Ovis aries: one gene and its partners. The protein of the gene in region 5 purifies or fractionates together with the protein of the main gene of each other region. This does not show direct contact. Links are inferred from orthologs where the notes say so. Each region holds a gene or a part of one and is shown on either strand. Other genes may lie near its edges.

Region 1 (3,500 bases), about 18 Mb from region 5:
CTGCTCAGTGTGATGCAGCAGCCTGAATGGGAGGGGAGTCGGGGGGAGTGGACACGTGACTCTGCATCGCTGAGTCACTTTGCTGTTCACCTGAACCTGTCACAACGTTATTAATTGGCTATAGTCCAGTATAAAATAAAAAGGTTTAAAAATAAATAATAAATTTAAAAAATAAAATTAAGGCTATATAACTAATTTGGAATAATTTTTTTTAGTACGAGTACCTCAAATCTAAATTAGTAGAACATCTGGATTATAGAATTAGGTCAGATAAATTGTGTGCTTTTTTTTTTTTTTTTTTTAAGAAAACTTGAATGGTCCAGCAAAAAAGAAAAATGAAAAGTTGTTCTGACACCTCATTAAATACAACTACTCTTACTCTTTCCCAATTTACATGCTTAATCTCTTTTCTGACTATCCCACAAACTCCAAACTTTGTTAGACTATAGCCTGCACTTTCACATAAAGTTAGCATTTTTTTATCTCAGCTTTCAGAGCACATCTTTACCATCCCCTGTGTCTTTGCTGATGCTGATGTTCATTCTTTTTAGAATTTCTTTATTCATTTGACACTTTCTGAACACCTCCTATCCTCCTACATGTACCAGATATTCTTCTGTGCATCAGATGTGTAATCATAAACAAAACAAAGTCCCTGCTAATGTGAGATGTCCCTCCCCTGCCATCTACATCTGTCAAAATTCTGGCTGTCCAGGCATACCCATCTCAAGTGTTACCTCCTCTGTGTAACATAGATCAATGCTCTCCAGAACTTAACGTGTGTGTGTGAATCACCCAGGGATCCTGGTGACGTGAAGACTGACTCTGTGGGTCTGACATGAGGCCTGAAATTCTGCATTTCTGACCAGCTCCCAGGTGATACTGGTGCTACTGGTTCAAGCATATAGTTTTAAATACCACCTACATACATAATCATGTCTCCCTGTCTTTGAAAAACAAAAAAGAGAAAAATTTTAATCCTCTAGAGCTCTCCCGATTCAGTCTTGCCTGTAGGTTCATACTCTGTTCTTACTAAATGCCTTTGAGTTCGTCTGTCCTTCGTGAATTAATTTTCCATTACCATTCACGTCTTAGCTCATGGCTATCCAGCTCTTACTATAGTAAAACTCCTGCTTCAGAATGTATCAGTGGCCTTTTAATGGCCAAGTTCAGCGAGGAGGTGTGCTCTCATCATAGGCGGCCTCTCAGTGTGTTTGCTTCCTTAAACCCTCAACTCTTTCGGCTTCTCCAGCGCTGTTCTCTTCTGGTTCTACTTCCGAGTGTCCCTTCTTAATCTTTCTCTCCTTTCGTTTCCTCTGACTCCACTTGTGTTATATCTGGGTTCCATCAGCCCCTTTCGCTTCCTCTGTAGGCTTCCTCAGTCGTCTCTTTCAAGCCGGTAGCCCCCACTTTGGCCTGTGTGCCTGCAAACCTAAGTCTTGTTCCTTCAGACTCGCCGCCTGCCACCTGAGTCCTTCTCCTCACCACCAGGTGTGCCTTTGCATCTGCAGTTTAGGAGTCCAGCAGACACCTCAGCACAGGTTGGCAGGAAAATCGGGCCTGGAGTGGTACATAAGGGTGTATTTTTTTTTCCTCACATAAAGTAATTCTGGAGTTGAGCATCCAGGGAAGGTGTGGTGGCTCCATGATCTGGTCTGTCCCAGGGTTCTTCTGTCTTCCTGCTCTGCCATTCTCAAGGTCACCTTGTCCTCCAGAAGGAAGGCAGGCAGGAAGTAGGAAGACGGGGAGGAGAACAGGTAGGCCTGATGCCAGCTGTCTGTCTCTCTTAAAGAGTTTTCCTTCCCAAAGATCTTACCAAGCTGCTTCTGCTTGCATCCCATGGACTGTCCCTAGGTCATATAGTCTTTTTGTTTCTGTTTATTTGGGGGTTTTTTTGGCTGCACTGCATGTCATGTGGGATCTTAATTCCCTGACCAGGGACCAAACCCATCCCCCCTGCAGTGGAAGCACAGAATCCTAACCATTGGACTACCAGGGAGGTCCTCATGTAGTCTTTTAACTGTACACATTGCGGCCTGAGGGTAGCAGGGGAGCAGCTCTGACATCCAAGACAAGAAGGGACCATGGCTATCAGGTGGGTCTGCAGGTGTTCTCAGTAACCATTCTCGGCACTCCTGCCCTCACCCAGGGTGATCCAGGGCTGCTCTCACTGGGATCATACGCTACCAGGATTCTAATTCACCTGCTCACGCTAATCTGCCAGCTACTCAGCTAACCATGCTGCTTTTCTAAAACATATCTGACGGTTTTATTCCTCTTTGAAGGTTTGCTGGTTCTCCGGAGCTGGTAGTAACAGTCCAAACACGCTAGGCTGCTTCTCCAGACCATCTGTAGTCTGTCCACTCCCCCACAGGGCCCTCCTCTGTGGCGTTCCAGGGGCTCCAGGCCTTGGTGGCACCTGTCTCTCTGTCTTCTTATCAGTATGACCCCAGATCAGGAAGCACAGTTCCTGGGATGGTCAGCATTAGATAGGTGAGTGAGTAAAGGAAATGACATGAGGTCAAAGAAGGATGTGAGGACAACTTGGCCTTGAAAAATAGACCTGAAGTCTTCATTCCTGTTTCTTGGCTAAAGGTCTAGAATAGGGGCTTCCCTGGTGGGTCAGTGGTAAAGAACCCACCTGCCAATGCGGGAGGCATGGTTTTGATCCCTGGCCTGTGCACCGCAATTATAGCCTTGGCCAGCTGTGAGCATTAGTGTGTGCACTGCAGATGACACCATGTTAAAACTCTGTTATGTGTACATCTTCTCATGTGACTGCTGTGTTTTCAGAGTTCCATCTCTGGGGTAACGGCTGCGTATAACCGGGAACAACTTTGGCTGGCCAACGAAGGCTTGATCACCAAGCTGCAGGCTTGCTGCCGGGGGTACTTAGTCCGGCAGGAGTTCCGATCCAGGATGAATTTCCTGAAGAAACAGATCCCGGCCATCACCTGCATTCAGGTATTTCAGAGCCTCCTGTGCGCAGACTGCAAGGGGGCTTCCAGAGCAGGACTGATGAACAGTCAGAGCCTATAGTCGAATGTCTGAGTGTAATGAACAGTCAGCACCTGCAGTCGAGTGTCTGGGTGTGATGAACACTCAGCGCCTAGAGTCGAGTGTCTGGGTGTGATGAACACTCAGCGCCTAGAGTCGAGTGTCTGAGTGTGGTGAATAGTCAGTACCTACAGTCAAGTGTCTGAGTGTGATGAACACCCAGTGCCTACAGTCGAGTGTCTGAGTGTGATGAGCAGTCAGCACCTACAGTCAAGTGTCTGAGTGTGATGAACACCCAGTGCCTACAGTCGAGTGTCTGAGTGTGGTGAATAGTCAGTACCTACAGTCAAGTGTCTGAATGTGGTGAATAGTCAGTACCTACAGTCGAGTGTCCGAGTGTGATGAATAGTCAGAGCCTACAGTCGAGTGTCTGGGCGTGATGAACAGTCCAGTGCCTATGATCGAATGTCTGAGTGGGTTTTTGCCTTCTGACCATCCCTTTC
Region 2 (3,500 bases), on a different chromosome or scaffold from region 5:
CCCCCTGAATTCGACCTGTGTTGTGTTTTTCAAGTTTTATACTCAAATCTCATCTTCTCTTTGTAGCACTTCTAGGTCATCCTAACAGGAAAAATGCTTCCTTCCCAGAATTCCTACAGCACCCCATTCTGCACCACAAATGAAGAGTAAATTCTGTATAATGCTATATACAGTGTTTTATATATATAATCATTTGTTCTGTGGTGTTTAGATTTTACATTGTCCTTGTTGTAAGGTTTTAGGGAGAATGTGATACTGTCTTTTTGAGTTAACTGTAGCTTGGTTCGCAAATGCTGCAGTTAACTCCAATATGTAGTTACTACCTATAATGTTTATGTGTGCATAAATACCACATAAACCGGAGGGGAAATGCATGGATAACAACTTTAGCTTTTCAGATTCCCAGCACATTGCCTCTAACTCTGTCCCTTTTCCCCTAAAAGCATATCTGAATACAAGTGATTGAGACTAATGTAAGAATAACCTTCGCAGTGCTCTAGTTCATTTTTTTTAACCTATTCACAGCTACTTTTCTTAGTGACTAGATGCTGGGATACTCCATCACTTAAGATATCATTTGGTCATGACACCTAATTTGAGGATTGTTCTATATATTAAATATTGAATATTTAACAGGCGAATTTAAATGTGGGACTAAACTTTAGTAACTGATTATAAACAGAAATGTCTTCGTGTTGGGATTGCATTGTATTTAATCTTAAAAATGATAATTTGAAAATTAATTTCCCTGTTCTTGTAGGGCACTGTAAATTGGTCTGTTGATGATATTGTCAAAGGCATAAATAGCAACAATTTGGAAAGCCAGCTCCAAGCTACTCAAGCTGCTAGGTAAGTCTTGTCTTCTGTAGCATGAGTAAACTAAGAAATCAGCCTTTTTACATTTTTTGGTGGGAAAGCAATGGCAGGTGGTGCAGAGTAAAGGTTAAGCCAGGCCTAGGCCAATTTTCATTATAATCTTTCCTAATCTAAAATTTTCTGTAGTTGCCTCAAATTACATCTACCTCCAGTGATAACTTTAGTGTACTTCAGAAATGTTTTCTTGTCACTGGCATTTCAAGTCAATGTCAGGGAAAGGAGGAATTATTCAGTAACTGGGATTACCACATTGATTTAGAATGGTTCATCCATTTAGGAAATAAATATATTCTATTTATTAGACTCTTCCCACCCACCATACACAGCTATCTGTGACATCCATAATATAAGGATTGATGATCTCTGTAGCCTCACAGTGTGGGGAAAAGCAGGTCCAATTGGCAGAAGATCAGGGGAAACGTGTGTGTCCCCACCACTGGCCAGAGTAATGCGGATTAATGGACTGTGATGGTATCGTATGTCAAAGTTTTTAAAAAGTGGTAAGATCTGGAGTAGATTTCTGCAGAGAGAAGGGTTCTGCGTCATTGGTAATATTTCAGTTTTGGGAAAAGTAGTTTACGACACTACCCCACCATGCAAACAGTCTGTCTGCTCAGCTCCTCTTAAATTCCAGGATATGTCAGCATTTAGTCTTCACTGTAAAAGGTTACTTAAAGTTCTAAACTCTTGGATTAAGATGCATTTTATTTTATTTTATTTTATTTTTTTAATTTTTATTTTTACTTAATTTTACTTTACAATACTGTATTGGTTTTGCCATACATTGACATGAATCCGCCACGGACGTACATGAGTTCCCAATCCTGAACCCCCCTCCCACCTCCTACCCCATATCATCTCTCTGGATCATCCCCGTGTAAGATGCATTTTATTTATTTATTTTTTTCTACTTTTATTGGTTTTGCCATACATTGACATGAATCCACCACAGCTGTACTCATGCAAGATGCATTTTAAATTGTGTTTTTTATATGAACTTGTTTGGTCTCGAGTTGGCGTTTTAAATTGTGTTTTTGTTTTTATTTTTTTCCTCTGGTATGAACCTGTTTGGTTAATCACCTTCAACTTTTGTTTCTCTTTTTGCTTACCCATAGGAAACTGCTTTCTAGGGAAAAACAGCCCCCTATTGACAACATAATCCGGGCTGGTTTGATTCCAAAATTTGTGTCCTTCTTGGGAAGAACTGATTGTAGTCCCATTCAGTTCGAATCTGCCTGGGCCCTCACTAACATTGCTTCTGGGACTTCAGAACAGACCAAGGCTGTGGTGGACGGAGGTGCTATCCCAGCATTCATTTCTCTGTTGGCATCTCCCCATGCTCACATCAGTGAACAAGCTGTATGGGCTCTGGGAAACATTGCAGGTACTTGGATTTGAAATTGGCTGAATGTCTCCAGTCATACTGAGGTTGGCATACGTGTCTTAGTGTGTTTGTTGCGTCAAGACATTGGTGTACTCTGTAACGGAAATTAATGGCACTAGACAGGTGGTAGTGGTTGACTCAGCCGCCTTCTTTTTTTTTTAAGGTGATGGTTCCGTTTTCCGAGACCTGGTTATCAAGTATGGTGCAGTTGATCCGCTCTTGGCACTTCTGGCTGTGCCTGATATGTCGTCTCTAGCAGTAAGTTACTTAGCATAAGTCACGTTTCTCACTGATTCTCATTTTCCTACCCCCCTTAAAAAACCACTTCATTGCGTGTTTCTTTTCCCCCCAGTGTGGTTACTTACGTAATCTTACCTGGACGCTTTCAAATCTTTGCCGCAACAAGAATCCTGCACCCCCCTTAGAGGCTATTGAGCAGATTCTTCCTACTTTAGTTCGTCTCCTGCATCACGATGATCCGGAAGTATTAGCTGACACCTGCTGGGCTATTTCCTACCTTACTGATGGTCCAAATGAACGGATTGAAATGGTTGTGAAAACTGGGGTTGTACCCCAACTTGTGAAGCTTTTAGGAGCTACTGAATTGCCAATTGTGGTAAGTTGATTTTCAAATGAGAGTATAAAGTATAAGGAGCACAATTAGTTGGTACTAATATTGACATATTATATATTTTAGGCCATAATGAGCCTCTTACCTGTCAAAACTTTTAGGGTGTAGAGATTTTGAGTAGTGCTGGAATAGATAAAAGATAACTGCCAGCGTCAACTTTTTTTCCTTTCAGACTCCTGCGCTCAGAGCCATAGGAAATATTGTCACTGGGACAGATGAACAAACACAGGTTGTAATAGATGCGGGAGCACTTGCCGTGTTTCCCAGCCTGCTGACAAACTCCAAAACTAATATTCAGAAGGAAGCTACATGGACAATGTCAAACATCACAGCTGGCCGCCAGGACCAGATACAACAAGTTGTGAATCATGGATTAGTCCCATTCCTTGTTGGCCTTCTCTCAAAGGTACTGTAGCCTTAGGACTTAAATGGGCAGGCACTTGGTAGAGTTGTATTTCTTAAGATTCTTAACATACTAATGCTGGGTTCTGTTTAACAGTCCTTTGCTAAATAATAGTAGCCTTTTTACTTTAGCTTGGATAGAACCAATTGAAAGTCTTAATCACTTTCTTCTAAAACAGTAGTTTTGGAATCTTATTTTTATGACCA
Region 3 (3,500 bases), on a different chromosome or scaffold from region 5:
GATAGCTTCCTTTACAGCTTCAAGCTGTTGTTCATAGGATGCATGCTCTCTCTTGAGCTCCTCCAGCTCCAGGGTGATAGCTTCAACTTCCTATAAAAAACACAGCATCTGGGCATTCAATAGTTACCAACTACTGTGGCTCAGACAGTAAAGCGTCTGCCTACAATGCGGGAGACCCAGGTTAGATCCCTGGGTTGGGAAGTTCCCCTGGAGAAAGAAATGGCAACCCACTCCAGTATTCTTGCCTGGAAAATCCCATGGACAGAGGAGCCCAGTAGGCTACAGTCCATTGGGTCACAATGAGTCGGACATGACTGAGCGACTTCACTTCAGCAAAACTAATAAGATACTTAAGCAAGTAAGGACCATAGCTTACTCAATTACTGAAAACATGTAAGCTGCTTCCAAAGAAGAAAAAGGGAAAATGAATTTATTTTTCTATATTAAAAAATGTACATACAATTTTTATGGGTTCAAAGAACTCTGCATAAACTATTTCATCCTTTTATTCCTATAGAGAAAAATAATACAGAATTCTATATAGCAGATAAATTAGGAGAGGTTAAAAACCTTTTTTAAACAATTATTTAATGACAAAAAAAAATAGCTTCTCTTCTTTCCCATTATAGCCTTTAGTTCTTTACAAAATGCTTTGTATAAAGCTAAATATTTAATAGTAGAATCATAAGGTGGGTTTAAAAAGAACTGTGAAGCAAAGTTAGATTTAAGTGAAACTGTATTCAATAGTGAAATTGTATAGAATAGTGATTGAGCATGTAGCCTTCTTTGTAAACAGAAAAACATAGGTTCAAATTCCAGCCTTGAAACTATCCAAAATAGTCTACAACTGAATAGCACTGCAAATATAACATGCTTTGCCATCATTATTCCTTCACAGTGTCTGTTCAAACAGATGATCACCAAACAGAAACGTCAACAGTGATTCTCTGATAAGACACAGCTTGGCTTACATGATACAAGCTTTGGTCCACTCCTGAATGAAACATTATCAAAATCAAACCTTTATCAAGCAACTTTGTCTCTCACTTTTTGATTTGTGACACATATCGATGAAGAAGGCCATGTCAACCAATGGTGCTCTACCACCCTTCAGTTCTACGCTGATGTTAAAAGATTAATTCTATTAAAAAAAATTACCTGTTGTTTTTCTTTCATTTTTTTGCTAGAAGCATCTGCTTTAGTTCTGGCACAATCTAGTTTTTTCTGTGCATCCTTCAGTTCTTTCTCTCTTTCAGCTTCAGCATTTTTCATTTTATTCTCCAACACCTCATATTTTTCTTCAGCTTTTTTCTGAATTTCTTTGGTGTTTTTTAAGGTCTCCTCACTTTCCTCTGCATTATAAAGCAGGCAAATACAACTAAATGAGATCTTCCAACTAGTAACAGCTACAGAAAAGGGCTTACAAATTCAACTTTTAAGAGAAGAAAAGGTATAGAAAGTTGGAGTCAAGAGTTTAAAAAAAATTAACTGTTCTAACTTTATCCTAGAAATAGTATGTTGAAAACACAGGTCATACCTTAGAGCCATACTTGAATTATCTAAATTCTGTAAAGAAATTATTTCCAATCACATGAAATTGAGTAACATAAACTTTATCTACAATTTAACTTATAAAAAGATCACAGACCGTTTTATATACCATATGCTTTATAAAACCAGAACTGAGCACATAACTATGGTACTTTTATTTTAGTTATAAGAATACTTTTAATTAACCCCATAAAAAAGCTTAACTTAGTGTTCCTTGCTCACTTATTTTTATTCAAGGAAACTCTTATTAAAGTGGAGAAATATTGTGAGACTATACTTAGGACGAAGCATAGGAAACATATTACCTCTGAATTTAGACATTAAAAAAATAAAGTAAGATAGAATGAGCATGTTATGCTCACAATCAACATACACTGTTAAGTGTTAGGACTAGGTACAAACATAACCTTGAAAGCCAAGATTATACAATTTCCTATACTAGTTTTCACTGTAGAATATCATTCTAGAAATCAAAAGAGAAATTTTAAAAATACCCAACACAAAGATAAACAGAAATACAACAAACCAAATGTACATTAGATGTAGCAAAATCAGTTCGAGGAGTTAAGTTCATAGCAACAAATGCCAACCTAAAGAAATAAAGAAAAATCTCAAACAACTTTACACCAAAAATCTGTTGTGTTTCTATATACTAAACAGTCCCATTTAGAATTGCATCAAAAAGAAGAAAAAACAAAACCCAAAGTTAGTAGAAGGAAGCAAATAATAAAGATCAGTGTGGAAATAAATGAAATTGAGACTAAAAAGAAATAGAAAAAAGAATCCATGAAATTAAAAGCTGGCTCTTTAAAACCAATAACCTTCCAGCTAGACCTAAGGGGAAAAAAAGAGACTCAAAGTCAGAAATAAAAGATACTGCAACTGATACCGCAGAAATATAAGGAATCATAAAAGGTAACTATGAAAAATTTCACACCAACAAATCAGACAACCCATAAGAAATAAATCCCTAGAAAAAGACAACCTAACAAGATTAAATCATGATGACATAGAAAATGTGAAAAGACAGTAATATGGAAATTTAATAAGGAATCAAAAACCTCCCAACAAACAAAAGTCCAGTTGAATTAAATCAAACATTTAAAGAGTTAATACTAATCTTTCCTTTTCAAATTCTTCCAAAAATCAGACAAAAAGAAAATTCTTTCAAATGCATTTTGTGAAGCCATCATCATCCTGATATCAAAACCAGACAAAGAAACCATAAGCAAAAAAAATCACAGGCTGTCATCCCTGATGAACATAAATGTAAAAATCCTCAACAAAACATCAGCAAACTGAATTCAAGAACACACTGAATCATACACCATGACTAGGTGGGATTTACTCCAGGGATACATTGATGTTTTCAGTTCAGTTCAGTCACTCAGTCGTGTCCGACTCTTCGCGACCCCATGGATCGCAGCACGCCAGGCCTCCCTGTCCATCACCAACTCCTGGAGTTCACTCAGACTCATGTCCATTGAGTCGGTGATGCCATCCAGCCATCTCATCCTCTGTCATCCCCTTCTCCTCCTGCCTCCAGTCCCTCCCAGTATCAGTCTTTTCCAATGAGTCAACTCTTCACATGAGGTGGCCAAAGTACTAGAGTTCAGCTTTAGCATCATTCCTTCCAAAGAAATCTCAGGGCTGATCTTCTTCAGAATGGACTGGTTGGATCTCCTAGCAGTAGAAGGGACTCTCAAGAGTCTTCTCCAACACCACAGTTCAAAAGCATCAATTCTTCGGCACTCAGCTTTCTTCACAGTCCAACTCTCACATTCATACATGACTACTGGAAAAACCATAGCCTTGACTAAATGGACCTTAGTCAACAAAGTAATGTCTCTGCTTTTCAATATGCTATCTAGGTTGGTCATAACGTTCCTTCCAAGGAGTAAGTGTCTTTTAATTTCATGGCTGCAATCACCATCTGCAGTGATTTTGGA
Region 4 (3,500 bases), on a different chromosome or scaffold from region 5:
CATCTTCAAGTAAGGAAGACAGGATTTCAGTACATTACACATTTTATTAATTTGGGCTTAAATTAGCTTGTAAAAATTAGTATATGGTTAAAGCAGAACCAGTATTGATTTCATTGCCTCCATGATCGTATTTTCTTTTTGAGGTGTGATGGTGGCTGTTAAAATATTAATATTTTTAGTCACGGAAATGAATTATAAGTAGCTCATAATAGTACCTTTTTGAGCAGTTCTAGTATCTTGAGTACCAGTTTTAAAGTTATGTTTTCCTTGCTTTCAGATAAGTTACCTAAACTTGAAAATGTAAGTTGACTAATTTTACCATCTCTGTTATTTCAATTCACGTTAAAGTTAGTAGGAATCTACTACCCTTTTAAAACAGCAGAAGGATAAGCTAACTTTTTTTTTCCCTCTAAAAGGAGACAGTTATACATAAAATGCCTATTTGGGTTATTTACATGGCTCTGTTGGTACTGGGGTTTTTTCTCTTCTGTTTAATAATCAGCTTTGGGAATTCGTAGTTCAAAACTGGCTGGAACCTAAAAATGTAGAAAACTAATTACATAACAAAATGAGGATGTGATTTGGCCTCTAGGTCTTGTTTTTAATTTTAATGTAACGAGCTTTAAATAAATCTACATGGTGGTATATATTTTAATTTTGTTTCTTAGTGCTTTTCTGTTATACAGTTTGGGTTGGAAAGTAGATAGCCAGTAAATCAGATTTGATTTTGTAGCTTATTAATTACACTTGATTTGTGTGAAGTTTAAAAGTCATGGTTTCAAAATGACCTAGTTTTTAAAGGAAAGCAAGTTTTAATGTTAAAGCAGATTTGCCCTTCATTTCTTTTTGTTTGATTAAAAAATAGGGGAATGTAGTTGTCAGTTCTTTGCAGTTCTTTTTACCTTTAATTGATAGCTTATTTTTCACCACCACCACCACCCCCAAAAAATTAATCTATATCACCGTACTACCATCCCCTCCCTTTTTCCTTGAATCATCCCTTGCAGCTTTTTTTAATGAACTAATGTAATCTATCAAGGTGGTTTAATATTTGGGGTGAGTTTGTTTTGGATACAGTGGGATTCTTGTTTCCCTTCAGTTCTTTTCTCAGTTAAGTATGTTTCTAGGCTTGAAGATATAGTTGGTTTGACTTTTTGGTTTTTGTGATCTGTGAGGAAGGAGTCCAAGAACTCCTTAGAAATAGAAAATTATTTCTATTCTTTGCTAAGATAATTAATTCTAAGAACTATTGTTAGCTTTTGTGCATATCCAGTTAAAGTTCTTAATCCATAGAATTGGTTTCAATATGAATTGAGTGAAATTTGAAGCAACTTATGACTTAATACCAGCAATTGTTTTCTGGTTTTGTTTTTCCTCAAAACAGGAAGGGGATGATTATGAAGTCATTCCTAACAGTAACTTCTATGTATCCAGAACGGCCTACAGAGATAATACTTCTGTTTATCACGTAAGTGGGAAAAAGACTACATTTAAGGATGTTGGAATTCTTCTTCGAAGCCATGGAATTGACTTGGATCATAATAGATTTTTAATCTTACAGGTAAGTTTATTAAGACATCAGAGGTTCTCTCTTTTTTTTCTTTCAGTAAAAGCGTAAAGAGGTTTTTCCCTATTGGATGAATCCTGTATTTTTGAGGCCTTAAAGTACTGTAGCAGCACATCATGGTTTACATACTACAGTCAAGATGCGAATCATTATTTGCTGCTCTAGAAATTTAAGGAAATTCATTCAAAACTGTATTTTCATGATCATATGCTCATTTTGTTTGGATGGACTGACATACTTGTTCCGCTCTAGCAGCACGTAAATATTGGGGTAGTAAAATAAATATTAAACACCAATATTATTGTGCTGCTTTAGCGTGACAGGGACATAGCAACTATTTATTATTTTTGTTTGTATTGCTCTTTGTGATAACATTTTAAATAAGATTTGTTATCTTTTTATAATAGTTCTTTTACTTTTGTTCTTATTTGTAATCTCTACTAATATTATATACTCCAAAAAAGGGGGGAAAAAACCACTCTGGATTCTTGGTGTTTGACAGACTTCTCTGATGTAATTTTTTATTTTTTTAAATACTTAGAATGGTCAATTAAAAGCTTATACAAGCTCTGTGTTTTGGTTCAAATGGCCTATTGAACCACTACTACTGGAAAATTAGAAAGTGATATTTCATTCTTAAGTATCATACTGTTAAAGGCTTTTTAAAGAGCTATAACATTAAGTACATGGTGTTAAGTTGATTTTTATAAAAGAAACTATTCTTTATTTGAGTAAAGATATTTTCTACCAGATTTGCTTGGTAAGAAAATCCCTCATCTTCTCTATGTTTTACCTTTCAAAAAAGTTTTTAGTGTAAAAGCATGGCTTAAGAGGAAAACTATTGTGATGTGGAAATAGCTGCTGATATTCTTTAGTGTCCTGCACTACTGGTTTTAAACTGGATTTTGGTTTGAGAAATTTTTATTAGTGTGGCTGAGTGTTCCCAGTAAGAAACTTACAAAATGTTAGCCGTTATTTCCATTTTAGTCTATATTTTACAACTATTTTTTTTAAAATAAAAGTTATTTATACATAATATATGTGGAAAGTAAGTAAATATAATTCTGGGGTGACTTATGTTAGTATCTCACTACCAGTTCATTTGTATACTTCTGTAACCCAAACTTAATTTAAAATGGATGTTGGGAACTCATTAGCAGATATATTTCTAAATGAGATTTGAATTTACATAAATGTGGGGTTAAAGCTATACGTGTTTTTTAAATCAAATTTAACTGTTCTGGGACTTGATTTGGTTAATTATGGATTAAAAAGTTACGCCTCATTAGAAAACTAAATTTGATAATGATACCATTTTGCAGGAACTTATTGTTGTGTTTATCTTATTATTTGCTGTATATTTACTATCACCCTGAAATAATCAGAGTTTTACACCTGTACGTAGACTCATCAAAATAGATTGTATTTTAACCCTTGTATGTTTTTTTCCTTGGTGGAGCCTTTCTACATAGTTCTGTGAATAAAGGGAATTAAATAAAGTAACATCTCAAAGAGATAAATCAGAATAGTTTTTAAATTGTAAATTTTATATTCAGTATGTGCTTCTAAAGTGTCCAGGATGCTTAAGCCCTTTATCCTCATAATCTCAACTTGTTTTTAATCATCTTAACAGTTACATTGTTGAAATCATTTTTAATACCAAGGTAAACTTTCCACATTAACAAATTGAATTCCATTTGATTAAATTTACAGATAAAGACTCTTAGGAGCTCACCTGTTAGGAAGAAGAAACAGGGACTGGACTAGATATAATTATTTTATTTTAAAGTTTGAGGGAAAGAGGCAGTGGTTTCTATGGATTTTTATTTAGTTCCTTATCAAAATCTTAGATTCCTGCCCTAGAAATTTAAAGCATTTGAAGGTAAGTAAGAATACAATTTTCGTTACCTTATCTCCCACTAAATAACATTTA
Region 5 (4,181 bases):
ATTCTGTATGATATTATAGTGGCGGATATGTCAAGATATGTTTGTCTAAACCCACAGAATATATACAACACTAAAAGTGAACTCTAATGTAAACTATGGAATTTGAGTAATAATGGTTTATTGACATACATTCATTGTCAGAAATGTACTAGGTCATGGAGTACTTTTGACAGCTGTGCATGTATAGGGGCATTTATAAAACATTTGCATGTATAAAACATTTTTAAGATTTATTTCTTCTCCATAGGAACTGTCTTCCTATTGCCAAAAACTAGACCCTTTCTCTCTCCACTGCTGGAGGATTTTTCCAATCTCCCAGTTAATCTCCTTTTCAAGGTAGTTCCTATTAGCTGTTCTGGTCACTCTCGCCCTATACATCTTTGTAAGACTCTTTAGAACTTTTCCAGTCAATGTTCTAGTCCAGAACTTGCTACTTTACCTCAGCATAAATTCTGTATCGCACACATTTAAGTCCCTGCTGACTTTTGCTCCTATTTTCTCCATCATTGCTTAACGCTGGTTTTTGCTTGAGGCACAGGTCCTCTTTCCTTTATTTTACAACTGATCAGGCTTTGCTTTCTTCTTCCTCCTCCCTTGTAGTGTTCACTTTATACCCATTTCTTCGGGGTCCAAATAAATGCCACTTCCTCCTTGAAGATTTTCCTGGCAGCTCCAAGTCACATTCACAGCTCTCAAATAATCATTCTTATGTGCTGTAGTTGGGACAAGATAGTGGAATCCTCAACTCTTATCTCTTAATTTGACCTATGAGCAGGAGACCTAGGAACTTTACCTGCTATAGTGGGACATGTATCTATAGACATTCGAGGCGCAAATGCGTAATTTACAAAATACTAGTTCTTCAAAGATATGCAGCAGCTCCTCTGCTTAAAGGAACACGCCTCAAATACTAATACGCATTTTTGTTTTTTAAATACAGTGGGTGTAGGAGCATGGTTTACTTATCTCACAAACCAAGGGATTCATTTCTTGATTAAAAAAAAAAAAAGAAAGCTATATCACATTTCCAACTAATTACGTCTCAACTGTCTCCAAGAGCTTCTCATACGCAGGCATGTTTTGTTTTCAACGCGTGTGAAATAAAACGTTCGAAGGGACTAACTACAGACATACTTAATATCACAACCCATAGGAAAAAGTCGAAAACACACTCGAGGTACTGCTGCTTCCTGGGAACGCCACCGGGCCTGAATTCAAACCTTTTGGAACCTCAGCTCTCTCGTCTGTACAGTGGAGAGGATACTCGACAATATTTACCTCCCAGGGTTGTGGTCAAAGGTTTTCTTTCTGAACTGCCGGGCAGTTTGCCTCCCAGGACCGAAGGGTGGCGCTTTTCTTCCCGCGATGCACTTCCGTGCGCGAGGAGGGGAGACCAGCGAGGAGGAGAAGCTCTCGCCGGAGGCCGGGTCCCAGAGGCGGGAGGCCGGGCCCGGACAGGTTGGGCCGCAGCTTCGACGTGCAGCGTTGGGGCTTTCAGCAGGAGCACGCCAAGTGTATACACACCGTGCAAAACACGCTGAGCGTGCGTGCACCCGTATGTGCGCGGTGCTGGGAGCGCGCTTCAATTGACAACGAAACGTGAAGGCGCAGAGCGTACGAAAGGAAAGCGACAACTGACGAGGCCGAGGGAGCCGGAGACCTTCTGTAGCGGCGACGAAGCTACCGGGCGCTCCGCGCCCCTGCGCCTCGGGCCGACGGGTCTCCACAGCGCCCCACGTGGCGGCCAGCGGGGTCGCAGCCAGCGCAGCCCATTTGCTCCGCCTCCGCGGCGCACTGCTGCCCTCCTCAGCTTCCCCGCCCGGCTCTCCCCCGACCCTCTTCCCTTCCCCCTCCCGGATCGCGATGGACGCGGTCTCCCCCCGCCGCCGCCGCTGGCAGCACGGCGCGGGCCTCTAAGCTGCAGGCCTCTGGAGCCGCGTGCCGGGGTCGGGACGTGAGCTGGCTGCCGCCGGTCTGGGGAACCTCTGGCTTTCCTGTCAGCAGGTCCCCGCGGAGGAAGGGGAGGGACAAGGCGCGGCTTTTCCTGTGCCGCCAGCCCGGCTCGACCTGCGCGGCCTGCGGCTTCCTGGGAACTCGAGGGCCGCGGCCGGGCCTGGCTCAGCCCGCGGCCTGCTTGGAGCTGGACCGGAGCGGTTTGAGACGACGGGCCTGGGTAAGAGCTTGAGGAAAGGGGACGCAGGAGCGCCTTCGGCGGTCGGAAGGGTCAGGCCTGGTTCCGGGATCAGGGATGCCTGGCGGTAGCCCGGGAGCGAGACCCCAGCCCCTGGTGAGGTCGGCGGGCTGCCGCCGACTCACCCGCTTGGCCCCTTTGTTTACCTCCCCCGACTCTGCCCACGGCGGGCCCCGGCTTGTCCGAGCCAGAGCCCATGGCTGGCCCGCCTTGTCCTTGAGAAAGGATCGCCGCCCGACGGGGCCAGGGACGTCCCCCCGGGCCTCGGAGTTCCGGGCGCCGCTCCCGGGAGACCCATCGCCCTGCCTGCTCCGGCCTCCTTCTCTCGGGTAGAGAGGCTCGCAGCTCCACCTCCAAAACTTACCCTCCTCCTCGACACAGGTAGCTAACTTAGCCGGGTTTGGTTCGGGAAAACCGGAGCGCAGTGCCTGCGTCTCCCGGCGCCGGGTCGGCTGGGCCCCGAGTTTTGGGTCACCCTTGCAGATCGCCGCCGTTGGGTGCCCACCGGAACCTGCCGCTGGATTTATGCACCTGCAGCTGGGTTACGAGGGACCCAACGCTGTCCTCTCGTCAGAGTGCTTTTGAGTTTTTGTATTGATTTGCCAGTTGGGGCTGCTTCTCTGTTGTTGGCTGCTGTTGTTTTTAACCAACTGCCCCGTTCGGTGAGGATGGGTAAAGAGGACCGCAGATTGGCCTGTGTTCTGATCTGTAACGTGTTAGTCCATTGCACTTACTTGTAGCATTTCTTTTTAAACTTTTAAGAACAGTTGCTGCTACTGCCAAAATTCCTAATCAAATCATAGATAGATCTTGTATATTGTTTGTATTTGGACATCTTAAGGATAGCAGTAAATTAAATCAGCAGAATTTAAGAAGTTGAAGTTAATTTTAGAGACTTGATTTGGAGGGGAATTGGATCAAAGTGCTAAGTTTCCTTAAAATACTGAATCTAATCCTTATCAGAAGATCAGCTTTGGGTGACGGAGGGGGAAGGAAGTTTTCTGGGGAAAAAAAGAACCCTTAGTAAGGTGTTGTTTGCCTTTTGGCAAACATGTTGGTGATAGCAATAGTGGGATCCGAAGCTTGTTTGACTGTCTTTGACAAAGGCGGCTCTGGTTTCCAGTTTAAGCAGCAGCCTAATCAGCTTATACTCTTGTGCAAAACTGGTTTTATTTAGTACAATGTATGAAGTTAAACCCGAGGAATAAGGAAAGTTGGAAAACTACGGTTAAGTACACTATCCAAACATACTTACAAGTCTTTTCTAATTCCTAGGATACCAAGAAAATCTGGCTCTAGCCGATGTAAAAGAAAAGAAAAAAAATTAAGCCCACGCTGTTCAGTCCTGGACATTTAAAGGAATTTTTGCCTTTGCTTTTTAAATTTAAGCAAAGAAGCCTAAGAAACAATGGCAGATGTGGACCCAGATACTTTGCTGGAATGGCTGCAGATGGGACAAGGAGATGAAAGGGACATGCAACTAATAGCCCTTGAACAGCTATGCATGCTGCTTTTGATGTCTGACAACGTGGATCGTTGTTTTGAAACGTAAGTGCAACCCTTCATCATTTTCATTTGGGGATGCTGTAGTGACCTGGGCATAACGTGTTTTCAACCATCTGCTGATTTGAATTTGTATAGAATTTTTCTTTAGTGAGTTTTATTTTTTTAATATATTTATTTTAATTGAAGGCTAATTACTTTACAATATTGTATTGGTTTTGCCATACATTGACATGAGTCCGCCACAGGTGTACATGTGTTCCCCATCCTGAACCCTCCCCCCCCCCCACCCTCCCCATCCCATCCGTCTGGGTCATCCCAGTGCACCAGCCCCAAGCACCCTGTATCATGCATCGAACTTGGACTGGCGATTTGTTTCACACATGATAATATATATGTTTCAATGCCATTCTCCCAAATCATCCCACCCTTGCCCTCTCCCACAGAGTCCAAAAGACTGTTCTATAAATCTGTGTCTCTTCTGCTG
Region 6 (4,144 bases), on a different chromosome or scaffold from region 5:
GCCTAGTGGGCTGCCATCTATGGGGTCGCGCAGAGTTGGACACGACTGAAGCGACTTAGCAGTAAGAAGTTTAAGTTAAAACTTGATGCCTAACAGCCCCATTATGGATAACTGGTTTAAATTTATTTACTGAGGCACAACAAAAATGTTCGATTCAGTATTTTGTTCTGATCACAAAGCACATGCAACATCTCTGGCATGCTCGGAATGAAAGTGAAGTGAGGAGGTGTTCACTTGGTTTATTGGAGCAAGAAGCTGTTTTAGTGGAGTGGTTATGCCCTCAATTTTGCTTGTATGAACTATGGCTGAGTGTAGAATAACTTAGACACAGCTCTTTCTTTTAAAGAAGAATTCCCTCTAGGAGGTTTTACGTTCCTATTGAGATGACCTGCATGTCAGGAAGGCCTTTTTTCTGTTGTAGTTCAGACGTGGGTCTGTCTTAGATTCTCTGCATTGTAACTTTTTATAAAACTGTTAGTTGTCTTAATTAACAATGCACATGGTAAAATTTTCTCTTTTTTTAAAAATTTTTATTTTTACTTTATTTTACTTTACAATACTGTATTGGTTTTGCCATACATTGACATGAATCCACCACGGGTGTACATGCGTTCCCAAACATGAACCCCCCTCCCACCTCCCTCCCCATAACAACTCTCTGGGTCATCCCCGTGCACCAGCCCCAAGCATGCTGTATCCTGCATCAGACATAGACTGGCGATTTGATTCTTACATGATAGTATACATGTTTCAGTGCCATTCTCCCAAATCATCCCACCCTGTCCCTCAATTTTCAAAATGAACATAAATGAAAACTCAGGCACCTTGCCTCCTGCTCCTGTCTGAGCAGCTGGCATCCTCATTAGAGAAGCATCTCCCTGGGAGGCAGGGCACAGTGTGGATTCCAGTCCTCCTTGTTCTGTTTTAAATCCAGAATGCTTTTTGGAGATATCTTTGTTACTTTGTTTCTATTTAGCTTAGTTCTTTCTCATGGATTTGTAGATCTTTGTACATTGAGAAAACTAACTTTCATCCTTTGTGTTACACATGCTTTTCCACTGTCTGGCCTTTCGACTTTATGAAGCCTTTCCTACTCTGAGATTTTTTTTTTAAGTCTTAAATATTTATTTCAGTGCGTTTTTGTTTCATTTTCTAATTTAACTCTTTGATCCAGGTAGTTTTCATTTTGGTGAAAGGAGTAGTAAGAATTTACCTTTATTTTTTCCAAGTTGTTATAACTGAATAATCACCAGATACTTAGAGCTACCTGGATCAGGGACAAAATTCCCAACTGTATTTGGGCCTACTCTGGGCTCCTCTTTTACTATTTGTGAACCAGCAGGAGAAGGGGACGACCGAGGATGAGATGGCTGGATGGCATCATGGACTCGATGGACGTGAGTCTGAGTGAACTCCGGGAGATGGTGATGGACAGGGAGGCCTGGCGTGCTGCGAATCATGGGGTCACAAAGAGTTGGCCATGACTGAGCGACTGAACTGAACTGAACTGAACTGAGTGTATCTTTTATTTAAACTTTCAAAAATAGTTTAATGTCAATTTCTCTTACCTCCTTGAATGTAAGCTAAGAGCAGAGGTATTTATGTCCTTCCCAGATATATCCTGAACTCCTAGAAAAGTTCCTAGCAGTAAATAAATATGTGGCTAAATGCAGGAGAACACTGCCTTATATAAACTTGCTTCACATATGTAAATCTCTCTGAATCCTTATAGCAACCTCATTAGGTGTGCAGAGCAGAGATGGCCAGCTTTGTTTTAAAGATTAATGTGCATGTATTCTGCAGGGTTTGTATAATGAGTGTTCACAGTATCTCTCCAACCCAACCCTAGTAGAAGCTCCTGGAGGACTGGGGCAGCATTAGAGCTATTTCCTTGTGTATGGTGATCCTACATGGCATGAACCTGGGACGAAGACCTGTTGCTCATTACACCTGTTCTCTCCTTGGGACCCTCTTAGGTTGGGCTGTTTCAGTGATTATTGCCCTAGGGCCTTGCTTGAGGGGCATCGGCTGAGGCCAGGACACATTTGCCTGACATATGACAGGTATGCTCTTTCTCAGTGTGCTACGTTTGCTGCCATCAGGAAATTCTAGGTGTATAAAAGCAGGACAGCAGTGGGCTCCTCTGCCATGATCCCTGCACATGCTAGTGTGTTTCAGGGACTAAACTGCCAGGCTGCAGAGTGCTTGTCCATTACCTGTTTTATAATAACTTGTCCTCGTGTGCTGTTTGATGGAACTTTATCACGTATGTTTTCTCAGCCAGTCCTCACAGCTGCACAGTGAGTTTTAAACTTTTCAGTGGCTGGTCACCTTGCAAAGGTGGGATGGTCCCTAGTTTTGGCTGAATATTGTGGATCAGTTGTGTCCCCTCTGAAACATATATTGAAGTCTTAACCCCTAGTACTTGTGATTGTGATCATTTTTGAAAATAGGCTCTTTGCAGACAAATGTGATTAGTTAATTTGAGGTTGCACTGAGTTAGGGTGGACCCTCATCTAGTGACTGGTGCTCTTATAAGAAGCAGAGAACAGAGACAGACACATACAGGCGAGAACCCATGTCAAGACAGAGGCAGAAGCTAATACAGCTGTCAAGAGCCATATGTATATTGTCTTAGTTTGGTAGCGATTCTGTAACAAAGTACCACAAACTGGGAGGTTTAAAGAAATCAGAATATTTTTTTTCACAGTTTTGAATGTCTAAAACTTAGGTGTCAGCAGTATTGGTTCCTTCTGGAGGCTCTTTCTGTCCTAAGCCTCTCTCCTACCCTTTGGTGGCTGCTGGCAGTCCTAGGTATTCCTTGGATTGTAGACACATCACTCCAATCTCCACTTCTGTCGTCAAATTTTTTTTCCCTGTGTAATCAAATTTTCCTCTTATAAGGATACCAGTTCATTGTGCTAGGGGCTCACCTTACTCCAGTATAACATTGTGTTAATTTAACTAATTAGATCGGCTAAGATTCTATTTCCAAATAAGGTTACATTCATAGTAGGGAGGTAGGATCTGAACATAGCTATGGGAGACACAGTTCAACCCACCAAGAGGGTTTCAAAAGTTATTACTAATTTAGTGACACTTCCTGGGTAGAGCAAGTAGCCTCAGGTTAGGTTTTGTTTTGGGGGCTGTGATGGAGTAAGGGTCCCCAGCCAGCACCAAAGGAGGGAGACCTCAGACTCTCTTGTCTGTTGGCCCAGATGTTGGGCAGGGAGGAAAGTGGAAGATCTCAAAAGCTATTAGCATCAAACAGCAAAAACAAACAAACAAAAAAAAACAAAAACAAAAAAAAAAACCCAGGGTCAAACTCTCTATTATCCAAAGTTATCAACAATATACTGTTAACTGCATTATGGTAAGCAACACCCCTGTATTTTGTCTCCGTTTGTTTGATTTTCTGTGCTATCTTATTTTATTGGAACCACTTAGTGAAGGAGCCAGGTTTGTTGCTAGGAATTAGCCCTGCTCACAAGGTTTGGACAGTTTATTCTTAGCCTTGAGGGACAAGGAATTTTTGACTCTGAGGTGGTAGCATGCTTCTCCATTTCAGAGGTGGGTCTCCTGAATCAGAATCTTTAGGTATATATAGAAAAGTTCCTCACGTAATTCTGCTGTGCAATGTAAAAGGAAAGAATGAAGGAGAAGCAACTGTGCCTCGTTCTGTTTCCTAGGAGGGACAGCCAGTGCGGCAGACAGCTTGGGGTTGTCAGAGTCTTGATTCTGCCTGCCAGACTTGAAGGGAGCCTGGTGTACAGACCAGGATGTCTGCTTCCTAAACTTAGAATTGTTGGACACACTTGGTCCTCAGGATGGCATTCAGAGCACCTCTTGTCCTGGAGAGAAGCTTGTATGGGAGGTGCCTCCAGAAGGGAAGTTGAGTCATGGTGCCATGGTCCCGAGGACACTGGCCTGGGCAGCACAGACCAGGAGCCAGGGACTGAGCTGAGTTCCACTCGTGGTGCTATGCTCTGGGGTCCTGAAAGGACCAGCGTGGGTCTCAGGAGAAGACCGAGAGCCTTTAGATAATCCTTCCTTTAAATAACCCTTAAAGGAAGCAAAACAGGACACATAGAATATAGTCCTATATATTCATTAATGCAATAAACTACAGCAGCACAAATAGGTC
Region 7 (3,500 bases), on a different chromosome or scaffold from region 5:
AAAAGAAGTTATCAAACTTATTTCTGAGGTTCTGCATTAGTATTTTCACCAGGGGAAGAGGAGATTAGGTCCCTTGTGATACACTTACGCCTGTTTTGCTACTGTGTGTTGCACGGGCCACAATATTCTGCTGCATTATAGCTTTATCACTGTAGAGGAGATATATCCTCAAGACAGGTTCTGCCGGCACTTTCCTCCAACTGTCACTGCATAAAGCTGCCCTTCACCTTAGAAGGTTATTATTCCAGGTTAAGCAGGGCTGTCTGTACCTAAACAGCAATATTCCATGTGGAGAGCAAACAGCACAAGGTGATTCCTTCATGGCAGACGTGTATCCACTGGCAGCATGACTGCCCCTGCCCCCCCATTACAGCAAATCTCCCAGGCAGTGGAGGAAAGGTGGAATGGGCTCTTCACTGACGAGGTCCATGATCTTAGGCAAATTACTCATCCTGTCTAAGCTTCAGGTGGCTTATGTCAAATACGGACAACAGAATCTAACTCAGACTTGATCTAAAGAGAAAATAATGTATCTGCCTGAATATGCTAACTTCTCAGTAAAAATATTATTAGAACCTTATTATCTTATCATTCCATTCCTTGTCCTTCTAAAATGTATATTCTCTAGCTGCTCCCATTCCTATCAGCTAAGCATAACACTATAAACAATATTTCACACTTATAGTCGTAGCTTTCCTTCTTCTTTTCATATCTGGGACAAAATTCTACCATTATGAATCCTGTTCCCCAAAGGAGAAGGCAGAATTCAAACTCCAAGTCTTTCCCTGCACCCAGAATATGAACAGGAAGCCTAGGTGCTGTCAATCATATCCAACCATGCCAGACTAACACATACAGTCTGAACAACCATGGAAACAGGAATTAATTCAAGGAGTAAGGGCAAAGTCAAGTTTAACAAGAAAAATCCAGAGGGGCCAGAAAGCTAGATAATAAACAGAACACAAAAGGAAATGGCCGATTAAAGCATTAAAAATCACAACAAAGTGAGGAAAACACTGATGCAACTTAAACAAAACAGCTAAATCAGAGCTATGGGGCGCGCTTCAGAGTTGACCTTGTCCACAGGAACATAAACACACACTTGAAGCTGTAGGTTCTCTCCCCACAGCGTGGAAGGGAAGTGATGGGAACATGCTTCTCCAATAATCTCAATGGCGTGAAGCTACGTATTCTGGACAAATGCACTTACCAGAAGGGAGAATCAGCTCCATAGTTTCATCGTCATAATCCAGGGTCTTTTCTGAGGGCAGCTCCTCAGTCTCATCATGGTCCTCGCCTTCTTTGTGATCTGGGTAGCTACTCCTGGAACCATGGAATGCCATCAACACACAGACCAAGACCCCAAATCTCATTAACATACTGCCAACCTACTAGATCACTAAAGGGGTGGCAGGCGAGGGTTAACGTCTACAGGGACTATACTGAAAGCTTCTGGAGAGGAAACAACTTGCTAGCATTTTCTCTTTCGGAGAAGGCGATGGCACCCCACTCTAGTACTCTTGCCTGGAAAATCCCATGGACGGAGGAGCCTGGTAGGCTGCAGTCCATGGGGTCGCTAGGAGTCAGACACAACTGAGCGACTTCACTTTCACTTTTCACTTTCATGCATTGGAGAAGGAAATGGCAACACACTCCAGTGTTCTTGTCTGGAGAATCCCAGGAATGGGGGAGCCTGGTGGGCTGCCGTCTATGGCGTCACACAGAGTCGGACATGACTAAAGCGACTTAGCAGCAGCAGCAGCAGCAACATTTTCTCTTTAGTAAAGTAAGCAAATAGCCTATGAACTCAAATTGGATCCCAGACCTAAATGTAAAATACAAAACTATAAAAAATCCTAGAAGATAATATAGGAGAAAACCTGGATGACTTAGGGTTTGGTGATGACTTTTTAGGCATGACACAAAACGCACAGTTCATGAAAGAAAGAACTGATCAGCTAAACTTCATTCAAATTAAAAACTTCTGTTCTGTGAAAAACAGTATCAAGAGAATTAAAATACAAGACGAAGACTTGGAAAAAGTATTGACAGAAGACACATCTGATAAAGGACTGTTATCCAAATGTAAAAAGAACTCTAAAATTCAACAGTAAGAAAATAACCCATTTGGCCAAAAATGGGCCAAAGACCTCAACAAACTCCTCACTAAGAAGAAACACATGGCAAATAAGCATATAAAAAACATGCCCCACAGCATATGTCATCAGAAAAATGGAAATTAAAACAGAGATACCACTACACACCTATCAGAATGGCCCAGACCCGTAACATCTAATGCTGGGGAGGGTCTGGGCAGTAGGAATCCTTCGTTGCCAGCAGGGATACAGGAGGGCACAGCCACCTTGGAAGAGCTGGCCACTTCTTGCAAAATCAAACATACTTTTACCATAAGACCCAGCCTGCTGCTTGGATTTACCCTAAGGAGTCAAAAACTTCTGTCTATACGAACACCTGCAAGTGGATTACAGAAGATTTATCCAAATTCCTACAACTTGGAAGAAACCAACATGGACTTCAATAGGCGACTAGATAAACAAACTGTGGTACATCCATGCAAGGGAATAGTTTTGGATTACACCAAAAAAAAAAAAAAAAAAGAGCTAGCAGGCCATGAAAAGACACGGAAGAACCTTAAAAGTATGTTACTGTGAAAGAAGCCTGAAAAGGCTACATACTGTATGATTCTAACCATACAATATTCTGGAAAAGGCAAAAATATGGAGACATTAAGTATCACTGTTTTCTAGGGGTCAGGTGAAGGAGAATGATGAACAGGCAGAACACAGAGGATCTATAAGCAAATGAAACTACTCTAATGGTAGATACATGTCACTATATGGACATCTGTCCATACTCACAGAGTAGACAACACCAAGAGTGAACACTAAACTATGGACTTTGAATGATAACTGGTGGGTCAACTTGGTTCATCAAATGCAACAATATGTGCCACTAGGGGAGGCTGATAATGAGGGAGGCTATGCACTTGTGGAGTACGGAGTACATAAGAAACTGCTATACCTTCTGTCCAGTTTTGCTGAGAACCTAAAATTATTCTTAAAAACAGTGAGCAAATAACCTACAACAACTCTTTCACCTGTGTTGTTTCTCTCAAGGAGGGCTGGCAAACAGGGGAAGAGGAGGAGACTGTACAGTGGGAGATGCAGCTCTCAATTTAAATCCTTACAGAAACAAGTTCTAGAACAGCGCAGTCCAGGAAAACTCTGTGATGATACAGATCTTCAGTCTGCGTGTCCAGTATAGTGGCTACTTTCAAAGCACATCTGCTTTTAAGCATAGGTCTTGAAATGAGGGTGGTGCAACTGAAGAACCGGATTTTTAAATTTTTTAATTTAATTAATTACCCCAAAGAGTAACATGAGTACATCCAGAAACTAGCAAATTAAGACACTGTAGTTCTAGAAGAATCTGTCTTTCACAAATACACACGGAAAATAATTGGAGAAACTCACACTAAA

Evidence for each region.
Region 1: the proteins of HECTD1 (region 5) and IQGAP1 purify together in Homo sapiens (affinity purification with mass spectrometry; 3 studies listed by BioGRID, with this or other methods). This does not show direct contact. The link is inferred for Ovis aries from reciprocal best matches to the Homo sapiens genes HECTD1 and IQGAP1.
Region 2: the proteins of HECTD1 (region 5) and KPNA2 purify together in Homo sapiens (affinity purification with mass spectrometry; 3 studies listed by BioGRID, with this or other methods). This does not show direct contact. The link is inferred for Ovis aries from reciprocal best matches to the Homo sapiens genes HECTD1 and KPNA2.
Region 3: the proteins of HECTD1 (region 5) and SMC2 purify together in Homo sapiens (affinity purification with mass spectrometry; 3 studies listed by BioGRID, with this or other methods). This does not show direct contact. The link is inferred for Ovis aries from reciprocal best matches to the Homo sapiens genes HECTD1 and SMC2.
Region 4: the proteins of HECTD1 (region 5) and SMC4 purify together in Homo sapiens (affinity purification with western blotting; 3 studies listed by BioGRID, with this or other methods). This does not show direct contact. The link is inferred for Ovis aries from reciprocal best matches to the Homo sapiens genes HECTD1 and SMC4.
Region 6: the proteins of HECTD1 (region 5) and URGCP purify together in Homo sapiens (affinity purification with mass spectrometry; 4 studies listed by BioGRID and IntAct, with this or other methods). This does not show direct contact. The link is inferred for Ovis aries from reciprocal best matches to the Homo sapiens genes HECTD1 and URGCP.
Region 7: the proteins of HECTD1 (region 5) and ZNF622 purify together in Homo sapiens (affinity purification with mass spectrometry; 4 studies listed by BioGRID, with this or other methods). This does not show direct contact. The link is inferred for Ovis aries from reciprocal best matches to the Homo sapiens genes HECTD1 and ZNF622.

Annotation. Positions count from the first base shown.
Region 1 is NC_056071.1:21,440,849-21,444,348, reverse strand, and holds part of IQGAP1 (ras GTPase-activating-like protein IQGAP1), read left to right. Parts: intron 1-2,793; coding exon 2,794-2,964; intron 2,965-3,500. UniProt on the Homo sapiens protein: Plays a crucial role in regulating the dynamics and assembly of the actin cytoskeleton.
Region 2 is NC_056064.1:48,650,015-48,653,514, reverse strand, and holds part of KPNA2 (importin subunit alpha-1), read left to right. Parts: intron 1-760; coding exon 761-849; intron 850-1,991; coding exon 1,992-2,260; intron 2,261-2,423; coding exon 2,424-2,518; intron 2,519-2,612; coding exon 2,613-2,876; intron 2,877-3,063; coding exon 3,064-3,297; intron 3,298-3,500.
Region 3 is NC_056055.1:18,966,920-18,970,419, forward strand, and holds part of SMC2 (structural maintenance of chromosomes protein 2), read right to left. Parts: intron 1,353-3,500; coding exon 1,159-1,352; intron 91-1,158; coding exon 1-90. UniProt on the Homo sapiens protein: Central component of the condensin complex, a complex required for conversion of interphase chromatin into mitotic-like condense chromosomes.
Region 4 is NC_056054.1:227,749,703-227,753,202, reverse strand, and holds part of SMC4 (structural maintenance of chromosomes protein 4), read left to right. Parts: intron 1-1,384; coding exon 1,385-1,561; intron 1,562-1,800; exon of another isoform or gene 1,801-1,893; intron 1,894-3,500. UniProt on the Homo sapiens protein: Central component of the condensin complex, a complex required for conversion of interphase chromatin into mitotic-like condense chromosomes.
Region 5 is NC_056071.1:39,550,826-39,555,006, reverse strand, and holds the start of HECTD1 (E3 ubiquitin-protein ligase HECTD1), read left to right. Parts: upstream 1-1,381; 5' UTR 1,382-2,173; intron 2,174-3,466; 5' UTR 3,467-3,599; coding exon 3,600-3,739; intron 3,740-4,181. UniProt on the Homo sapiens protein: E3 ubiquitin-protein ligase which accepts ubiquitin from an E2 ubiquitin-conjugating enzyme in the form of a thioester and then directly transfers the ubiquitin to targeted substrates.
Region 6 is NC_056072.1:261,355-265,498, reverse strand, and holds the start of URGCP (up-regulator of cell proliferation), read left to right. Parts: upstream 1-1,344; 5' UTR 1,345-1,374; coding exon 1,375-1,397; exon of another isoform or gene 1,398-1,976; coding exon 1,977-2,063; exon of another isoform or gene 2,064-4,144. UniProt on the Homo sapiens protein: May be involved in cell cycle progression through the regulation of cyclin D1 expression. May participate in the development of hepatocellular carcinoma (HCC) by promoting hepatocellular growth and survival.
Region 7 is NC_056069.1:56,858,979-56,862,478, reverse strand, and holds part of ZNF622 (cytoplasmic 60S subunit biogenesis factor ZNF622), read right to left. Parts: intron 1,324-3,500; coding exon 1,211-1,323; intron 1-1,210. UniProt on the Homo sapiens protein: Pre-60S-associated cytoplasmic factor involved in the cytoplasmic maturation of the 60S subunit.